5 linked regions of the Danio rerio genome follow. The protein of the gene in region 1 purifies or fractionates together with the protein of each later gene. This does not show direct contact. Links are inferred from orthologs where the notes say so. Each region holds a gene or a part of one and is shown in the gene's direction. Other genes may lie near its edges. The genes, in order: rpp30, pop4, rmp64, rpp40 and pop7.

The links.
Region 2: the proteins of rpp30 (region 1) and pop4 purify together in Homo sapiens (affinity purification with mass spectrometry; 4 studies listed by BioGRID and IntAct, counting the BioPlex papers as one, with this or other methods). This does not show direct contact. The link is inferred for Danio rerio from reciprocal best matches to the Homo sapiens genes RPP30 and POP4.
Region 3: the proteins of rpp30 (region 1) and rmp64 purify together in Homo sapiens (affinity purification with mass spectrometry; 3 studies listed by BioGRID and IntAct, counting the BioPlex papers as one, with this or other methods). This does not show direct contact. The link is inferred for Danio rerio from reciprocal best matches to the Homo sapiens genes RPP30 and RMP64.
Region 4: the proteins of rpp30 (region 1) and rpp40 purify together in Homo sapiens (affinity purification with mass spectrometry; 3 studies listed by BioGRID and IntAct, counting the BioPlex papers as one, with this or other methods). This does not show direct contact. The link is inferred for Danio rerio from reciprocal best matches to the Homo sapiens genes RPP30 and RPP40.
Region 5: the proteins of rpp30 (region 1) and pop7 purify together in Homo sapiens (co-immunoprecipitation; 4 studies listed by BioGRID and IntAct, counting the BioPlex papers as one, with this or other methods). This does not show direct contact. The link is inferred for Danio rerio from reciprocal best matches to the Homo sapiens genes RPP30 and POP7.

What each region holds. Positions count from the first base shown.
Region 1 is NC_133187.1:18,040,356-18,044,528, reverse strand, and holds the start of rpp30 (ribonuclease P protein subunit p30), read left to right. Parts: upstream 1-1,208; 5' UTR 1,209-1,292; coding exon 1,293-1,374; exon of another isoform or gene 1,375-2,059; intron 2,060-2,169; coding exon 2,170-2,225; intron 2,226-2,318; coding exon 2,319-2,375; intron 2,376-2,453; coding exon 2,454-2,519; intron 2,520-2,633; coding exon 2,634-2,702; intron 2,703-3,161; coding exon 3,162-3,251; intron 3,252-4,173. Other genes in the region: kif20bb (kinesin-like protein KIF20B), read right to left, coding at 174-263, 351-452. UniProt on the Homo sapiens protein: Component of ribonuclease P, a ribonucleoprotein complex that generates mature tRNA molecules by cleaving their 5'-ends. Also a component of the MRP ribonuclease complex, which cleaves pre-rRNA sequences.
Region 2 is NC_133182.1:47,660,991-47,665,215, forward strand, and holds the start of pop4 (ribonuclease P protein subunit p29), read left to right. Parts: upstream 1-1,295; 5' UTR 1,296-1,379; coding exon of another isoform or gene 1,380-1,386; intron 1,387-1,555; coding exon of another isoform or gene 1,556-1,608; 5' UTR 1,609-1,613; intron 1,614-3,522; coding exon of another isoform or gene 3,523-3,585; coding exon 3,586-3,743; intron 3,744-3,837; coding exon 3,838-3,915; intron 3,916-4,019; coding exon 4,020-4,081; intron 4,082-4,225. UniProt on the Homo sapiens protein: Component of ribonuclease P, a ribonucleoprotein complex that generates mature tRNA molecules by cleaving their 5'-ends.
Region 3 is NC_133184.1:29,061,336-29,065,794, reverse strand, and holds the start of rmp64 (nucleolus and neural progenitor protein), read left to right. Parts: upstream 1-1,481; 5' UTR 1,482-1,505; coding exon 1,506-1,590; intron 1,591-2,585; coding exon 2,586-2,740; intron 2,741-3,815; coding exon 3,816-3,904; intron 3,905-4,459. Other genes in the region: tex30 (testis-expressed protein 30), read left to right, coding at 1,296-1,340. UniProt on the Homo sapiens protein: May play a role in cortex development as part of the Notch signaling pathway. Downstream of Notch may repress the expression of proneural genes and inhibit neuronal differentiation thereby maintaining neural progenitors.
Region 4 is NC_133177.1:26,940,914-26,945,254, forward strand, and holds the start of rpp40 (ribonuclease P protein subunit p40), read left to right. Parts: upstream 1-1,536; 5' UTR 1,537-1,605; coding exon 1,606-1,722; intron 1,723-1,814; coding exon 1,815-1,959; intron 1,960-2,438; coding exon 2,439-2,507; intron 2,508-4,341. UniProt on the Homo sapiens protein: Component of ribonuclease P, a ribonucleoprotein complex that generates mature tRNA molecules by cleaving their 5'-ends. Also a component of the MRP ribonuclease complex, which cleaves pre-rRNA sequences.
Region 5 is NC_133182.1:21,870,716-21,873,915, forward strand, and holds pop7 (ribonuclease P protein subunit p20), read left to right. Parts: upstream 1-1,485; 5' UTR 1,486-1,559; intron 1,560-1,920; 5' UTR 1,921-1,940; coding exon 1,941-2,387; 3' UTR 2,388-2,653; downstream 2,654-3,200. Other genes in the region: N(6)-adenosine-methyltransferase subunit METTL3, read right to left, coding at 999-1,101. UniProt on the Homo sapiens protein: Component of ribonuclease P, a ribonucleoprotein complex that generates mature tRNA molecules by cleaving their 5'-ends. Also a component of the MRP ribonuclease complex, which cleaves pre-rRNA sequences.

The sequences.
Region 1 (4,173 bases):
AAATGTCACCATTTCTCATGTTGTTCCAAAAACAACAAAAGGGAAAATATAAATGACGTCGCTATTCAACTTAACATGTTTTTAAAAGTTATAATAAGGGGTTTTAAACATGAACATGGGGAAAAGTCTTATAACTTAATATTTTCAAAGATTTGTCAAAAATGTGCAAGCACCTGTGATTCTCCTTCAGCTCTCTCTGTTGAGGTGAACGGACGTACGCGGAGATAGACCTGCAAATGCTCTTTTTCAAGCGACACCGAGTCCTGTTAGAAAGAGAAATGTACACCAGGAAATGTTAGCTTCGGCCAAAAATCGGATTCGACTGCTTTAGAAGATGAGATAATAAATACCCTGGATAATTTGGAGAACTCGGAGAAAAGATCTTTTCGGAGGTCTTCAACCGTTATAGAGTCGACACGGTCAGGCTTGTGATTTAAACACGATTCCATCATCTTGATCAAACCTGTAAAGAAGTTTGACGTTTAAATAAAGAAAGTTATTGCGTAATAATAAAGATGTATTTAACGTTACGTTAGGTGGCGACAAATGGAACAACGACTCATAACTTACTAACGTTGCCGAACGCGTTAAAACTAGCTTTCGTAAAACATGTTAACCTTATTCGTATCGCATTAAACTAATCAACATTGTTTAATAGCATGAAACAATGTAAAACGATTCCCTGTGTGTTTTCATTTCAGATAATTTCACTTACTTTTCCCTTATTGTTATTATTTCCTTTTGTTTATCCCGTTTACATCGCTTACATGCTTCTTTCCAGTGGTCGCGGTTCTCCTTCTGTTTAAATCCGACCAATTGGAGAGCACGCTACAGACGTAGCTCCACCTCCAACAGGAAGTAAAATATACTGTGGTTCTGGTTGACTGACAGGACGGTCGAAACTAATGTAAGGAAAAGTAAAACGGAACTAGCCCACAAGGCTCAGTTATAGGTTGACGCTTTATCTTGTGATCGAACTTGTTTGAGAAATCAACGTATTTTTGTGGTTTAAATTACACAGTTTTAAAATAATAAGTCTGTTTACCAGGAATTAGTTTTTTTGTGATTTTGTACTTTCTATTCCATTAATGCTCTCACTCCAGTCCAGTAGGTGACGGTAATGTACCTATCATTTGCTTACTATCAGTCTTAAAAAACACCAAACGAAGGAGATCATATTTTACCATGTGGTTCTCTGTACCATGGATGTGTGTGTTCAGTAGTTGAAACGGTGTATTCTTATATGAACTTACCAGTGAACACTTTTCCCGAATCCCATCAATAGGAGAAAGATGTCTGTGTTTATGGATTTAAACATCATCAATAGTAGTGATAAGAACAGACTGAAACACATCATAGAGACAGCTGCTCACCGTAAGTAGCAGTACAGTTACGATCCAGACAATTTGGATTGGTTTCCCCCTAACATGACTTAAAAATAACGCGTAGAACGCCGTTTGAACAGTGCTTTGGAGTAGGATGTCGGATATATTACAGACACAAGCAAATCACATTAGGCACATTAAACGGATAATCTGTCAAACGATGAGGAAAACGTCACTAATTATTCTGTTCTCAGCTCTTGGAGGTCAGACGTTTCATTGCTGAAATTCCCAGCTCCGACTAATTGAAAGTTGGTTTTATATTCGCACATTCAGTCTTTCTCATTAATAATATAGTTTCAGAAAAGTATTCATTGTAAATGGTAAAATCATATTAGCAGTCAACAACTATCAAAGTACAGCATTGTTCACAGTTTGTGAAGTGTATGCAATTTATGTCACTGAACGAATGTGTGAATATAAAACCAACTTTACCTCAATCTCCGACTATATCTATAATGCGGCGCAATAACAGTTGTATTCTCTAACGTTAGTGTTCACGTGTGTAAGCGAAGTATGAAACGTTATTAATTGTTCATACAGTGTTTATTGATATTTCCTTTTTACGTTGAATCTTGTATCAAAAGTTGTTAGTAATTGAAAACGTATTTCAACTTTTCATAATTAGCTGATTATTACTATTTACCAGCTGTCTACTGCTCCTAGCAGGATAACCAGTACGTAATGGCGATGGCTAACTTTGATTAGTTAGACTAAGAAATGCATAGATTATGCTGTACTTTTAGAGAAACCCCTAATGCTCATATACTTTTTGCTGTATTTTCAGTTGGCTACTCAACGGTTGCAATAAACTATGTAGTTGAGCCACTACAGAAGAAACAGGTACAATATAGAGGAGTTAAACTAAACTGCATTATCGAGTTGTGCGTGCGTGTGTGTGTGTTTGTATGATGCTCTTATTTTCTTGTTTTACAGGAAATTCCTAACCCACAGAGTATTTCAGACTTATTTGATAAATTTCCAGTTGTCCAGGTAATTAGCTTAAACATATCTTCCGAGATAATTAACAATGATGTGTTCTTTTTAATTAATTTTTTTCTTCTGTTATAGGGCAAATCTTCTCCAATCAAAGTGCTAAATCGATTGACCATTGTGGCATCTGATGCATCACATTTTGTAAGTTTATACTTCGTAAACTCTAATATAATTTGTGCTAAAGTATTATACACATTATATTGTATTATATACTGCAGTATTATATGGTGAGACTGTTTGTGTTATTCTCCTTAGAGACCTACTAATGAATACAAAAAATTTGACCTTGTGGCGGTGTACCCCAAAACTGAAAAGCTCTTTCATGTAAGTGTAGTTTCAATTCTACATTGTGTTTTAGTTTTAGTTGAGGTTTAGTTCACCCTAAAATGAAAATGAGTTACTCACCCACACGGCATCTTATATGCCTTACCTTTCACTCAAATTCAATTGAAGTTATTTAAAAATGTAGGATTTCCAGCTCTGCAATGGTAAATGTCAGCTGATTATCAGCAGTCCAAAAGAATTCCAATAAAGTGCATCATCCATAATAAAAAGTGCCTAACCCTAGTGAACTAACCCTTTACATTTTGGATAATGGGTAATTAGTTTATCATTTTTGATTTATATTTATATATATATATATATATATATATATATATATATATATATATATATATATATATATATATATATATATATATATATAAAATACATTTTGATTATCAAACATATAATCTATTGTGGTATTAACATTTTCTTTGTCTTTTCCCTCACCTGAGCCAGGCAGCCTGCATGACTTTTGATGTTGACATTATCTGCATTGCAGTGACGGAAAAACAGCCCTTCCATTTTAAAAGGGCTCCAGTTAATGGGGTGAGTTATTGCATTTTATCCATATCTATACCTATGTACATGGTCACCTAGCGGAATTTCATAAAGCATAAACATTTAAACAACTTTTTCAAATGCCTCTTATGTTAAAAGCAACTTTTCACATTGTGCCGATGATATGGTTTAAGGGATAGTAAAGTAGAGATGAAATAAACAAAGCTTTGAAACAAATAATCCTATAGCTTTGCAAATGTATTCACTGTTTCAAAGCCATTGTCTCCATCGCCACAGAGCGGCTGCCACTTCGTTTGAGTTGTTCTGACAGGTCAAAGGCTCTAACATGATTCGCTCCTGGCATTCTGATTAGAGGATTTCAAAATATTGCAGACAACTGATTTAATGGATTCAGATACAGTTTTGTTGGCCATTCTCAATGACAAAATAGCCAAGCAACATCGCTCAGCAACACTGCTTTAAAGGTTGCCCTGTGTATTATCACCTTTAGCAGTTTTGGACAGATAAACTGGTATTTGGTATATTACTGTAGTTGTTGTCAGTAAATAATATACGTCACACTCAAAAAATAGCTCTTTGGCTGAGCATGATTTAATTTTGGACAGGGGCTTTATGTAATTACACTAAATGATCTTAACCACATTGTATGATGTTAAACCAGCTTAAAATATATGTGTTCATTTAACATGACTATTTGAAGTTCAACAAAAAAAGCATTCATTTAAGTTAAATAGAAAGATTTAAATCATGTTTAGTGAACATCATCTGTTCATGTAAAATAAACACAATTATTTTCAGCTGGTTCAAAATCATACAATGAGTATGTTTACATGGACACCAATAGTCCTTTATACAATTAACACAATACTTTGATTAAAAGTCTAACATGTAAACAGCTATTTTTTTATTGCCTTTAAAATTGTAAAGTCATAATTGAATTAAACTAATT
Region 2 (4,225 bases), on another chromosome or scaffold:
GTCAGCAGTATCGGTTTCCTGTTTCTGAACAGCAAACCCAGAACTTCCATAGCACAGTATTTAGTACCATCACAGTAATAGTCACTCACCACTGAGGGATCAGCTCCTGCAAATATGTCTGATAATCAAATTATTTATATTGTTTGCAAAAAAAAAAAAAAAAAAATAGAAACATAGTGCAATTAAAGCTGACCTCTTTGTGTTTCTTCTTGGCTTGATTTGTTTACTTGCTACTTCACATTCTAGAGCCCCAGTCAGAGCACTCTCTTCAGTCGACGGCCATGCTGAATCATCCAACATGCTCAAACATTAATCCGACTGAGTTGGGCAGCTCAGGTTTTACTTTTTTTTGGACACAATTCAGCTTACCAGCCAGGCTGGTCAAATCTAGCCATGAAACCTCCAACTCCAACAATATTGCAAAAACTAAATTTACTAAATACAATTTTAACTCAAATGTAAATATATATATTTTTTGTTTCTCCTGATTTTCCCTCTTTATTAAAAATGCATTTAATATTTTTCCTAACATTTTTATTTGGGTGTAATAATTTTTGGAGCTTCTTTTAAATTATTTTGCAAAGCTCCAGGTATGGCTTTGGTGAGTAATTTATATGCACAAATATAATAGCATCCTAGAAAATATTCATTTAAAAGAGGGATCTTTCTCTGGGTTTAATCATATATTTTATATATATATATATATATATATATATATATATATATATATATATATATATATATATATATATATATATATATATATATATATATATATATATATGTTTTGTTATTACAGACATGAACTTAATCAATATTTGTATGTAGGCTATGTTATTTTTATTGTATGTCTGTTACTTTTATTGTCTACATGTAGGTTTATCGAACATTTTAACATTTAAGTTTTTTAAGTATGTTAGTCATGCAATAGCCTATTATTAGATATACAATGTTTATTAAGTTTTTTGTACTTTATTTGTTTACATAAATAATGATATTGATATAATTATATAAGATAGCCTATTGTGTAATTTAAAAAATATGCTGGGATACCAATGAGCAAAACGTTGGTATTTTCCTTGGAGACTGTGGTAATGTGGAAACGCTCTGTGTTTATACATATATTTTAAACTTGACCAATGCTCAACCATAGACTGTGCTCCACACTGGATCATGCATGAAATGATATTGCATCCCCTTTAAAGAATTTTAAAGCAAAGGTGTTATGACGTATAAAAAACAGAAGATGGCAGTAGTGCAACATGAAGAATGCAAGGTAAAACACGAAAGAAGAAGAAGAAGATCAGCTCATCTGTTTTGGCAGCACGTTTTTTCTACAGCGGGAGTGTTTTAATTCCGGTGTCTTCAGCTTTTGAGCTATGGAACGTTAGTGTTAAATTGGTTTTACTTTTGTCATGATCATTTTAATGTTGGGTTGCTGAATGTGTTTGTTTTGCAGTTTATCGATACTGTTTTTCTGTGAAATTTTATTCTACTCATTACAAGAGGATGGTCTGTCGTAATTTTATGTATGCTAACGTTATATTTTTCACAGGTGTGCTGCAGTCAGAAATCCCCTCAGATCAAAGTCATCTTTTGGGAGTTGAGGTGATGTATGTTCAGTATTGTTAACCATCATTTACCAGTTTACTCGCAGTTAGACACCGCATTTAATCAGCTTTATTTATTAACCATCTGTTATTGCATACATTATGCTGTAAAGAAGTGTGTCAGTTTGCATTTAGTAAAAATAATGTACAGTGTTACTTGGCATATATAACTTTTATATTTAGTATGTCTCTTGAGGTTTAAGTTTCTTTATTTTTCTTTTTTATTTAGCCTACTATAAAGATGTGTTGTATTACTTATGAAATAAACAACTACCACTTAAAATATTTCTATTTTTATTTATATTTGTATATTTTTGACCTCAGATTTGGCTCTTTATATAAAGGAAGCATAGACTACGTTAGCATGTATATCAGTAATCAAATTAACTCCCCTAATCTGAAAATAATAATAATATGATGGTGTTTATATGAGTTGCTTTTCTGAATGTTCCTTTCATGATCCCGTTTTTTTCTTCTTTTCGTTTTATAGCACATAATTCGATAAACATCATTGCATCACCACACTTTCCACATTTTCTCTAGTTTCATGTCTCTTTGGGTGTTTAATTAAACATTTTTCGCCTTAAAGTCTACGTTCATGTATGAAGCATGCATGAAGCTGGTTCTTCACTGACTCTATAGGTGTAGAGAATAGAAAATATACAGAAAGTCCTACATGACAGTAATAGTTTGATTTGAGTGTTTACATGTATGTTCTGCACTTCAATAATGCTACTAAATCAGCGTTATCCACATGTTTTAATTCGATTTCTGTTTAGCACTGTTATGACCATAATTTGATTAAGTGAATTAAAAAATTGCTGTTTATATGGTAGACTCTTAATCTGAGTATTGTCTTAATCTTATTGAAATCAGATTATTGGTGTCCATGTAAACACACTTGTAGAGAGGAACAATTGAAGAGTTTAAATGCAAAAACCTCTTAGGTGCTATCAGAAATTTTCATCTAAAATGAGCATTTTTCTCAGGCTGTTGTGTGTAGTTTCAGTAATTTTACTCTGTGTTGAAAGAATAAGTTATTGTCATTGCCTTTTAAAGTGAAATAACTCTACTTAAACATAGGAGGCTGAGAAAAATGCACATTTTAGAGAGGAAAATTTCAGACTACGCAACACTTTTTGCATCTGAACTCTGTTTATGTACATTTTTGTTCATTTAAATAAAAAGTGTAGTAAATTGCAGTATTTACTCAGATAATGCTGCTTAATCAAAAGAAAAACTTTTTCTTTCTAAAGGGCGTCATACACCGGATGTGGCGCAACACCGTGCGCACATGGCAGTGGAAAGTATCGCACACCAGATGCGCACGTTCGCATGCTATTCAGTGTCCTGAGTCATAGGTGGGCGCTGCTGACAGCCCCCGACTTGCGACACTGGTGTGCATACCTAATCTAATAGAAACCTATGTTTAGAATTATAAAATGCATGGCGCTACATGGCGCGGCACTTCTGGTGAGTGACCCCCTTTACTCATTCTCAGTGTTTACATATACTGTAGGCCAGGGGTGTCCAAATTCAGTTCTGGAGGGCCGGTTTCTGCATATTTTTGTTCTAACCCCAATTAAACACACATGAACCAGCTAATCAAGCTCTTTCTAAGTATACTACGCACTTGAGGCCGTAGTAATAAAGAACTGTAGTAGTAAAGAATTAGAACTTCCTCTCTCTTGTTTAAAGGCTGTCCAAAATATGCAGTGCTTCTGCTTTTCTTTTTAATTTTGCAAGCTCCTTTGAATTTTGCTTGATTTTGTGTTAAATTAATTGTGTTAAATCTGTTATCAGTCGCAGCATTACAACATCCCAGAGGGACTGACTAATGCTGATAAATTCACACTGTATGATGTACAGAAATTTTGCAAACCAGTGAACTGTGGAATGTGGCTTTTTACAGTCTCAACATGGCACAGATGCAGAGGCTTTCACAAAAGCATTTGTCAAGAATAGCATTCCCCATATGAAAGACGCAGCTATCGAGGATATGATGGCACGCAAGGCAGTGGTCCTGGAATATAAAAGACCAAAGAAAAAGGTGAAGAAGGTAAAAGCCAAGGGACTGAATGCCAAAGAAAGAAGACGGCTGCAAATATTCCAGCTTAAGCCTGAACATCAAAAGTGGGTGTTGGAGGTTTCATTATAGCTTGATTCTTACACTTATAGAAATGTATTGTGTTTAAAAGTTCTGCTTATTGTATGATTCTGATTGTAGATATGAACTCTTCTTACCTCTGCATAAGCTGTGGAAAAGCTATATTGAGGATCTGTGCAATGGATTGAAACCAGGAAGGTATAAGGAAGATGCTCTTCAGAGTTTTAGGCTTGTGGATATTTCATTTCCAGTCTTGCTTACACTCCCTGAATGTGCTGCTTGCTTGTGTCTTCTGAATACAGCAACCCACAGGTGATCCAGCAGAAGCTCTTGAAAGCTGATTTCCATGGTGCTATATTAACAGGTACGCCGTCATGCACATTTGGAAATGTCAACCCACAAAGGCACATTTTGTAGTTCAGCTGCTGTATTTCCAGAATTTCCATGTAAGGGGGATATTTTGGGCGTATGGAGAACCTCATGATTTCACTCTCATTTTTCTGCCTTC
Region 3 (4,459 bases), on another chromosome or scaffold:
TGGGAAATTATATAAAAGCCAAAACAGTATAATACTGTTTTGTATTGTATTATATTATAGTGTAAATTTAATATAATAATACAGAAACTTTAAGACTTGTATGCAATTTATTCTCAAATAAATGTGTCTTTAAGTATAAGAACTGGTTAAGAGAACATTACAAATAAAGAACAAAGCTTTTATTTTCAAAGTCATCTTTTTAACTATTTAAGAATGAATATAAATTTTATTTCCATATTTTAGGATTTGAGAATGGAGTTCTTCAGCTAATAAGTCGTTGGATTTGTTTATTTAGATGATTTAAGAATGTATAACTCTTCATAAATGCATGTTTTAGAGAACAGTTGTTCATTTACTTATTACCTTAAACAAAAAAACATATAATAAGCTTGCAATAATGCACTTTGGAAAAGTCTTCTTCAACATTTTTAAGCAAATGGACAGGGCAAAATGCGCAAAAGATTTTTTTTTTTTTGTTCAATGCAAGAAAGAACGTTTACAAAAATTATTGTTAATTAAACTTAACAAGTTTAAGTGATTTACACCAAGAAAGAGTTTTACAAGCAATATAATTGCTAGAATAATTAAAGGAGTTAACATATAAATATAAAAGTCCTTTCTGAAAATAAAAAAGTTTTAAATTTGCTATAAGAAGGATCTAAGTTCAGAGAGTAAACGAAGAATAATTTTTTTGGGGAAATAAAAACGTTTGGAAACAAGATTTTTTAATGAAATTGGAAAAGTCAACTCAAAACACTTTATATACACTCTCAAAATAAATGATTTAGTGATTTGAAGTTTACTCGTATTGAGAACAAATTGAGCATTTAGGGGAAATATTCTTATTGAATTTAGCTAGTTTGGTATTTATATGGTAGCAATTAAGAATGACTTGGATTGAGACTTCGACAGCTTTATTAGATATATTTTTTTCCCCCGAAGAAGCCAAAACTGTTTCCAAACTATATCGCCATCTATTATTTCAAAAGCGCAAAAGAATGTTGTTTTTTTTTTTTTTTATAAACTTAAAGAAACTGTATAATACAATTTAGAATACAGTAAAAGATAACAGTTCTTTAACACATTAATCACATTACATACACAAGATAAAGAGCAAAACCAAAACACATTACATAAAAAATAATAATAAAAAACGTAAAAAGTTAAAAGACAGCGCAATAAAAAAGAGATAAATATTCAAGTAGCATGATCACATCATATTTGCTCAAGTAAGAAGCACTTTTCTTATTTTCAGTTAATCTAAGAGATTTAAATAAATGTTCTATTTCACACAGGAAGTCTATAAAGATTGGATTTTTTTAAGGAACCTCTGTTTGTGAAAGTAAAATTTCCCAGCAAGAATAAGAAAGTTCACAGTGGCTTCTAACGACTTGTTTTGGTAAGCGCACAAGAATGGTGTGCTTGTACCTTTATGCACTATGACGTATTCGCACACACAAGCATATGATTGGCTGGTTTTCTCTCCCCGGCAGTCAGCTGTAAACATGGCGCAGGAGTGCTGGAATAAAATAAACATTCCGTTTCCAAGTGCTGTCTCTTCGACTCGAATCCCATTTACGGATTCGATAGGTATGTTTCGATGTTTTAAAATATCGGTATTACTACATTTTTTATAAAATTGAAACCACACACACATCGCTCAAATAAATTCACAGAGTAGAGTGTTTTAGCGCTTGACGAGAACACGTGGATCCGCAAGATTCACGTGAAACACTTTTAATAAAACATTTAACTCATGACATTTAGATAGTTGCTTCGATCAGCAAAATATATATTTACTATTGTTAGTTCAGGCTGTTGTTTTGTTTTATATAAACAATTTCTTCGTACGATAGATAACAATGTTACATTCTGTAATGCATCTGCACCAGTTTATAATGTTTATCATGTGGTTAAAAAAAGGTCAAGCAGTTGATTGATTTACATTAAGCATTTCAAATATTTTTTGTCATTACACGTTTTCTAATATTTTCTGTGACCCTGAACCACAAGATCAGAAAAATATGGGTCAATTTTTAATGAAGCTCATCATTTGAAAAAAATTAACTAAAAGTTTCCCAGTGCTTTGTTTGGATCGGACAATATTTGTCAGACATTTAACTATGAAAAAAAATCTAAATATTAAGAAATTGACTTTTAAAGTTGCCCAGATTTCGTCCTTACCAATGCATTTTAATAAAATATATAATACACCCAACATGTAAATTATACAAAATGGTTAGTAATTAAACTAAAAATAAATAATTGTATCAATTTTAATACACATATGTTATGTATTAATATGTGCTCTGGATATTTTCTTTCTGTTTGACTTAAAAAATAAATTTATGCATTTTAATACTCAAACATTTTGCATTAATCTGTAATCTGAACTGTTTTTGATATTTTCCTTCCGTTAGACAAAAATAAAGAATATTTACAGGTGCAGGAAATAAATGCTGTTGCTGTGTGTATATGTGTTTGTTTTTGCCTGAAGTGTCTCGTTCTAACTTATTTTAAGTGCCTTATTATATGTGTTACATGTATAATACATGTGCAGTCAGACACTTTTCTTTTCTGTCTAGATCTCTTGATTGATTGCTTGCTGGCTGACTGTGAGAAAGTGTTGACCCTGTTATGTAGTGAAGTTCTTCAGACAGAAATCCGTGTGCTGTACGAACTGCTTTACATTTTGAACAATGGCTTCAGACAACACAAGCCATTCCGTGCATTAAAGCAGGTGAGAGCCAGTCCTGTAATACACACACACACAGGTCAAAAACTAAATTTCACATTTTTGGTATCCTAATCTAGTTAACCATTTGCAGATTGGATTTTATATAGAAAGAAAAATAAATTCAAAATAAAAGTAGTGTCTATTTTAATAACTTGTTAAAATATTAAAATATGGGTGAAATAATGTTTCATTGTGTTTGTGTGCAAACATTCAACAATTCTTATTTTGACCTCTACCTCTTTAAAAATGTTTAATTAATTAAAAAAACATTTTGCTGACAAATGTGTAAAAAGTTTGAAGGTTGTATCTTGGGACTGCACTGTTGTCCTTAAAGTATTTTAATTTTAATATCAATGATTATTGCTTTAGTCATGAATGACAAGATGTTCTGGTAAATTATACTATTGTTACATTAAATATTTCAGGTGATCTGTTCTGCATATCATGATAATAGTGTAGTTATTTATATTTCACAGATGAACAGACGCAATTCATTCATTCAATCATTTTCTTGTCGGCTTAGTCCCTTTATTAATCCGGGGTCGCCACAGCGGAATGATCCGCCAACTTATCCAGCAAGTTTTTACACAGCGGATGCCCTTCCAGCCGCAACCCATCTCTGGGAAACATTCACAAACACACACACACACACACACACACACACACACACACACACACACACACACACGCACACACACACGCACACACACACACACTCATACTTTACGGACAATTTAGCCTACCCAATTCACCTGTACCGCATGTCTTTGGACTGTGGCGGAAACCGGAGCACCCGGAGGAAACCTACGCGAACGCAGGGAGAACATGCAAACTCCACACAGAAACGCCAACTGAGCCGAGGCTTGAACCAGCGACCTTCTTGCTGTGAGGCGACAGCACTACCTACTGCGCCACTGCTTTGCCCAGACGCAGTTTAATGTATGAAAAAAATGTAGCCACATTGTGATGCTTACAACCCTGCTTGCCTTTTTACTCATAGTTACAGATGTTACAAATAATACTGCATCATTTTTTCTTGTTCATGATAAAATACTTATCAGATTTACATGATCTGCAGGTTGAGCAATGTGTAAACCGTTTAAAAGAGATGAAGTTACAAGCAGCGGTGGAAGATCTGAAGGAAGTGTGTCCAAACAAATTTCAGAGGTAAGGTCAAAGTAATGACACAATAGCCGTGTTTCCACTATCTCACCTAAAGCGAGCCAAGGCCAGTCACGTTTTCACTGTCACTTCCGGAGCCTGATCAGGCCAAAGCGGGGCTTTCTCTGGGCCAGCATCTGGCCTTTTTCAGCCGAATAACTTGGGCCAAATTGGACCAGCTAGGGCTTTGGGGCAGACTTAGCCCGAGTCTGTTAAAGATGGCATGCCGTCACTACACTAGATTTTCGATGGCACTCAACACGAGTACATGCGGCAAACAAATTAAATAAATAAATAAGGGAAAGAAAACATATAATGAAATTTTTAATGTAGTGCTTTATTAATGAATAGCTGTTGAGCAAATTGAAATATAGGCTATATTTTATTACTTGCTCTTATGTGCAGAAACACTTAACACTTTCTATTACTTAATATAAGCGAATAATATGCAACATCCTTAAATAAAGGGGAATCATCTATTAAGTGTCACATAGCCTAGGGAATAATTTATATGTTTTCCATCTCTCTGGAGCATTTGGGCTGAATGTTTGATGACGTCTA
Region 4 (4,341 bases), on another chromosome or scaffold:
AAAGACTCTTTTTTTATTAATATACGAAAATGAGAATATAATCACAGTATGTTAACAAGAAATCGAAGAGACAAAAAGAGCAACAATTTTGGAATAAGAAACAACAACAGATAACAAAAAAAAAAACAGGAGGGGTAAATACATTACAAGTTAAAGAAAAAGATTATATAATTTACAAATTTCAGTTGTTTTTAAAGCCTTTTTTGTAAAAGAGTTAGACACTGTTTCAAAGTAATACTGCATTTCAGTAAGCAAAATATAAAAAAAAGGTTTTTGGTTTGAAAATTTACATTTATGGATATAAAATTTTGTTAATAAGACAAGAAGATTAAGAAAATATTTTTTCTTTTTATGTAAAGTCCCCGTTCCATAATCAACAAAACCAAATAAAACATTCTCCCACAGCAAGGAAAATTCCTCATCAACATTCTCAATTATAAAAAGTGAGAAGTCTTTCCAAAGCAACCTAGTGTAATTGCATTGCCAAAATAAGTGAACCAGGGACTCAGGGTGCTGCCCACAAAATGAACAATTAATATTAAGATCTTTTTTATATCGTACTAAAAGAGTATTGACTGGGTATGTACGGTGAATAATTCTGAATGAAACTTCTTTTATCTTATTTGTAATTAAGTAGTTATTTGGGGTGAGCCATATTTTTCTCCAATCAATATCCGAAACAAAAGAATTCCAATAAAAAGTAACATTTGGAACTGATACAGTTCCATTATAAAAAACGTATTGTTTTGTTTGAAGAAGTTGCAGAGAAACAACATTTTCCAATCATTGTAGTAGAAGGGTCTAAAAGAGGTAAAACAGAAGGATAGGGGATGCCTTGGAATAATCTAATAACACCAGATGGTATAGCATCAAATACCACAGCAAATTCTTTAGGGGGGATGGGTATATTGAATCGATTAAGAAATTCGTTATAATTTAATAAATGGCCATTTGAGTTAAATAATTGACTAACAAGCAGAATATTTGCTTCAAACCAGCGCTGAAAGAAAAGAGATTTGTTTTTATATACAATCTTTAGGTTGTTCCAAATAAAATATTTGTGAGGAGAAAAGTTGTGCTTGTATAATAGTGACCAGGCAAGAAGAAATTGTTTATGAAATTGAGATAATTTAGCTGGTATTTTCTCAACATTATAGTTACAGAGTAATAAGAAATTAAGCCCTCCAAATTTAGAAAATATGTAATTTGGAATAAAATTCCAGATTGAGGTTGGATTTTTGAGAAAAATTTTCCCCATTTAATTTTGATAGTATTATTAAATGTACAAAAATCCAGCATATTAAGACCCCCATTCTCAAAGCTATTCATAATTACCGATTTTTTTATATAATGGATACAATTTTTTCCAAATAAAATTAAATAATATTTTATCAGTTATATTATTTTATCGTTTTCAAAGACTCGCGAACTGCTGCTCGAGTTCTGCTGACAGCAGGAACTGACGTCAAACCTTTGCGACAGGCGAAGTTGCCACTATTTTGAAACATTAAACAGGCGCGCCGATGCAGTTTAGTGTAATAAACTCGTTTCTTTATTTCGCTGCTTGATGTAACAACAATGTAAGTATTTTGTACAGATATTAAAATGTCGCCAGAGCTGGAAAAGTGCCCGAGAAACCTGCTGGTGTGCGAGAAATCAAACTTCTTGAATGAAAAGTCTCGGCATGACATCCACGTGTCGAAGCACAGCTTTAACTACAAGGCAAGTTTCAACACGAGACATGTGCTCAGCATAGCGACTTTGATTGTAAACATTGACCGTGATGGTTTACTAAGGGAATGCGTTTCCCGCAGACCTCAGTGCTGATTCCTGAATGCGGGATCCTGCCTGCTAACATCAGCAGTGCCTTCAGCAGCTTCAGCCCTTATTATTTAGTGCGGGACCTGCCTGTATATGAACTGCTGGAAGAAACATTTCTGGAGTCGCTCGTGAAGAAAGGTTCAAGAAATGTCCATTGCTAACGTTTTTGTGTAATACGCTACATAACACGAGCTAAAGACGTATACAGCATTGGTTCATTTCAGATTGTTTCAATGTGTATTAATCCAGAGCTGTTTGTTCACACTAATACTAATAATTAGAATAATAATACACACATTAGTCACATACTGTATATAGAACACAACATATAGAAACATTGCATGCATTGTACAACAATCACAAACAACAAGACTAAAAGTCTTGCAAGTGAGATTGTGAGCAATAAGATGATGGCAGCTGGACTAAACAGTCTTAAACAGTTGTGACTTGTAAGCTTGTGAACTAACATGAGCAAAAACAAAAGGTAGCTATTTTATGTTTACTAACATTAAAGTTAACAATGCTGAAAAAGAATTATTTCTTATTTTTAGCTAAAGTGTTTATGTGAATGTAAGAATCTGTTACTGATTTTTATTTATTCATTTATTTTTACACAGGACATTTCTATGCACTCTCTTACAACACCAAAATTGATGAAGATAATTCCATTGCACTTCTTTCCAGTGGTAAGACATGCACTTGTGCTGTGATTCTAACAAAGCTGCTTTATTTTATTGAACTGAGTTAATCAGGTTAATTCATTCAGTACTTTAAATGACTTTAAATTTGTCTTGCAAAGAAAACCAATAATATGACAACAAGATGACATTCAGACAACATAATATTTTATCTTTATAATTTAATGGAAAGAAATAGTTTTAAGAAGTTAAAGATAATAAAATAAAAATGTAAAATCTGCACTCATCTGCATGAAAAGAATAAATAAAATCTTTCAAACAGAACAAACGAAAAATGTTGAGTACAACAATATCAATTTCTGTAACAGTTTTTAGGCTATATTTTTTTTCGAACAAACCTCCGTTATACAATAACTTGCCTAATTACCCTAACCTACCTAGTTAACCTAATTAACCTAGTTAAGCCTTTAGATGTCACTTAAAGATGTATAGAAGTGTCGTGAAAAATATCTAGTCAAATATTACTTACTTTCATCATGGCAAAGATAAAAAAAATCAGTTATTAGAGATCAGTTATTAAAACTATTGTGTTTAGAAATGTGTTGGGAAAAAAACGGGGAAAAAAATAAACAGGGGTTGAATAATTCTGACATCAACTATATATATATATATATATATATATATATATATATATATATATATATATATATATATATATATATATATATATATAAGCCAGTGATGTTCTGTAATCCAAGCACTGCGTTTATTATTAATAAACAACTCTATAATACACGCTTTTGCTTATTTGTGGCATTCTGAGATTTTTTATTCTTATCTGAGCATCTTTTTCCACTTTATGTCACTTTTTATTGATTATATTGAAATTGAAATGCATTACTTATCAATTAAACACTGTCAAGTGGTTTCAAACTTTGCATTTGTTGAAGACAAAAGAAAAACTTTTTTTTTAAATGCCTGAAACTGGTAGCCAGTGATAGGAGAAATAAATGCGCTAGAAGGCAATGATTACAAGTCGTCAACATTGTTTATAATATCTTTATTCATGTTCAGTAGAAGAAATAAACTGAAACGGGTTTGGAACAAGTGAAAGCTGAATGATGACAAGAGAAAACAGAATTGTCATTTTAGGGTGAACTGTAACTTAACAGTACCATATATTGCTGGTATTGTGCAAAATCAACAGGCCAAAAACATACATATTCCCTAAAATAAGTAATTGTTTTTTTATTTAAACAAATAAATATATTAATGATGTATTGACCTTATTCCTCAATGCAGAAGTGTGCTTGTTTTTGGGATTGTTTTAGAACTTCCGATTCAGTTGCCAATGGTAGAAATTGTCATTTTTGGGTGAACTGTAACTTTACAGTACCATATATTGCTGGTATTCAACAAAAAAATCAACAATGTAAATCAACAGGCTGAATATACATAATCCCTAAAATAATTCATTGTTTTTTTTTTATAAAAAAAAAAAAAATAATGGTTTATTGACCTTATTCCTCAATGCAGAAGTGTGCTCGTTTTTGGGATTGTTTTAGAACATCCGATTCAGTTGCCAATGGTAGAAATTACTACGAATAATAAATGACAAAAAACAGTCAAACTACATGCTCTACAAACAAGTGTGTTCATGACTATGCTGACAAAGCAGAATAATATAATAAGACAATATCAGTGTTCAACATTAAGCAGCAGAATGTTGTTTAAAGTCAATGGAAGTGATTGAGGCCCGAAGTTTCGAGCCAAAAAGACGGCACCCCCTTGTACACGAAAAATAAGGTGAATATGCACAGCTAGTGTTTTTTAACCCCCAATAAATGCCTAGTGAAGGCTATATGTGACTGTTTTAAATTTC
Region 5 (3,200 bases), on another chromosome or scaffold:
TGTTAGGAAATTCTCATACAGCAGGTGGCATCATAGACTCACTATTTCGACACCGCTGAACTTTCTTTTAGCATACATTCAAATGTTTTTACCATTTTGATAGTACACTTCTGATAGTATTAGATATTTCCACGTTTAGCATTTGAATTCAAGTAAATAAATCTGATTATATCAGAAACGTGGTTTACAAAGGTAGTTTAATGTTTAGCAAATAAAACAAGAAAAGAAAGAAAACACACAATAACATGCAAAACAGTAAATTATTCATTCATTCATTTTCTTTTCGGATTAGTCCCTTTATTAATTTGGGGTCGCCACAGCGGAATGAAGCGGGATGTCCTTCTAGCTGCAACACAACACTGGGAAAATAGTAAGTTATATAATTTTACATTGAAAATGATACATTAATTATACATTATACATTAAAAATAACAGTTACGCTAATATTTCTCACAGAGGACTGATATCGAACATCTTTAGGTCTAGGATTTGTCAACAACATATTGTTATGTATGTTCTCCAGCTGACAAATAAATTCATACATCACATTTGTCATTAAAGCAGGGAATGGTTGTACTCTTGCCTAACAGAATAATAAAAAAATGAAGCACAATCCTCATAGTCATTTTACACAACCTGCAGCTTAAGGAGACTCTTTCAGCTAAACGTAAAACCACAAAAGAGCTGTATAAAAACAATTACAATTTGCTCTAAAGGGACTTATCTTAACCTGTTATTAATACATAACGTTCTCTCACCTACATATTTGCTTGAGCATACAACTCACGACGTTGCCTGTACATATCATCATTATCTCTTATTTTATTGTTAACGATAAAGATATGCCCTGGATGTTTTACAATTTTTAATACATTTAAAAAGTGATATGATAATAAAAATCATAAAACTGTCTTCTTTGTTTTTACATATCACACAAACAGTTAAAAATACACATTTTATTTTTCAGATATCAGATAATGTAAAATTACTCAACACACCAGTGCCCAGTTGAGTTGGGTCTTTTCTTCTCCTCTGCAGCCTCTCTCGTAGTGAATCCAGCTGCTTTTTGTGCGCCTGGATGTGACTCCATGTGTCCGACATGGCTTAAATTAAACGAGCTAAACAGCAAATAAACAAACAGTACTGATTAAACAGGGGTTTTATGAAGTTTAGATTACATCTAGCAAACTAACGCTGAGTGACTGTACCACCATACACACCGTGCCGCTAAACTGTTTCTATTTTCAAAATAAGAGACACTAACTATATTTACTGATTAGCAACGATCTCGTTCATACAGGTACTTTTATATTTTTACGTATTTTAACTCATATATATTTTTAATTAGGATTCAATTATAACTATTTGATATACGAAATAAAAATAGATATTTCCCCACCAAGAAAAGAACAGTATGTATTTTGTAATCACATAGTGTATTACTTCCAGTGTACGCAAGACGTCTTCCGGAATGAGAGATAAGACAGATCTGTAAATAAGCAGATTCTTTATCTACCAGGAATTAAGCGCGGATCTGAAACAAGCTCTTCTAATTCAAGGTACTACTCTTACTCAAAATCCCAAATTATACATCAAACATTATATATTAAAATCTATATCCACTAACTTAAGTGGCAATGAATTGGAAATGTTTGTGTAAATGAGAACCTGCTTCGTAAACAAAATGTTTCTCGAATGTGATGTGGATGTAATATCTTATTTAATATACAGCGTTATACCCTGAAATATAATGCACGCCCAGTGTATATAGCCATTCACGAATGGATGATTCATATGAGTCGGTTCATTGTGGGGAATCGTTTAAATACATGTCGTTAAAATATAATTCACACATCATTTATATGTAAAATTGTTACGAGTCTTATCTTTAAAACGCGAATTAATGTTCTGTTTGTGCAGCACCTTTCAGGTGATTCGACATGGCTGAGCCACGAAGCCCGGTGTCCGCTTCTGTGCCCCACAATCCAATAGTCCTGGCTGCCCCCGAGGGCTCGACCCTTGAGATGGACCCAATAGAGTTCACCCTCCGCAAGCGACTGCCTCGCAAACTGCCCAAACGGAGGAACGACGTCTATGTCAACATGAAGACTGACTTCAAGGCTCAGCTAGCGAGGTGTCAGAAACTTCTGGACGCTCACAGGGAAATCTGCATCCACGGCCTGGGACTGGCCATCAACCGGGCTATAAACATCGCTCTGCAGCTCCAGACGTCCAGCCAGGGCGCCCTGCAACTCGCCGCAAACACCTCCACGGTGGAGCTCATCGACGACCTGGAGCCTGAAGATCCGGACGAGGCCGGAGAGCATCTGACCCGTACCCGGAATAACTCGGCCATCCATATCAAGGTGTTTTACCCCAATCCGTAGTTTCAGCTTCAGTGTCAATATAATGAATGAGGGCTTCATGAACAATTGTATGACGTTAGTGGCATGTAGAAGTTTTTTAAAGTGATGCATTATTTATGATTTTTTTCTGCTTCAAGACTTTTTTTTTAATTAATTGCTGTGTTATTGAATGTTTTATTTGAAAAACAAGAAAGAAATGTGCCATATGTATTTTTTTCTACTATGTATTTGTGTTCTTGTGTATAGTAAACTTAAATGGAAAGTAAACAGCTTAAATGCAAAGTAAACAGCCCCACCAACACTTTGTTGATTGTATCTTCCTGCATGTGTATGCATATTAAGACAACAATATATTTTAGATATTATTATTATTAATTTTATAAAAGGGATAGTTCACCCAAAACTGAAAATTCTCTCATAATTTTCTTCATCCCTTTACCTGTCAGAAACTTGTTTGAGTTTTTGTTTCTGTTGAACAAGAAATAAGAAGAAAATTTACAAAACTGTGACCATTGACTTCCATAGTGTTTGATTTCTACTTTGGAAGTCGATAGTTACAACATTATAACATTTTTCAAAATATCTTCTTTAATGTTCAACAGAAAGAGGAATCTCATAAAGGTATGAAACCAAGTGATTGTGAGTAAATTTTCACTTTTGGGTGAACTGTCCTATTAATAAGAATATAATGATGGCAAACCAGTATATAATAAAGGTAAAAAAAAAAAATAAATAAAAATAAAAATAAATAAATAAATATATATATATATATATATATATATATATATATATATATATATATATATATATATATACATACATACATACACACAC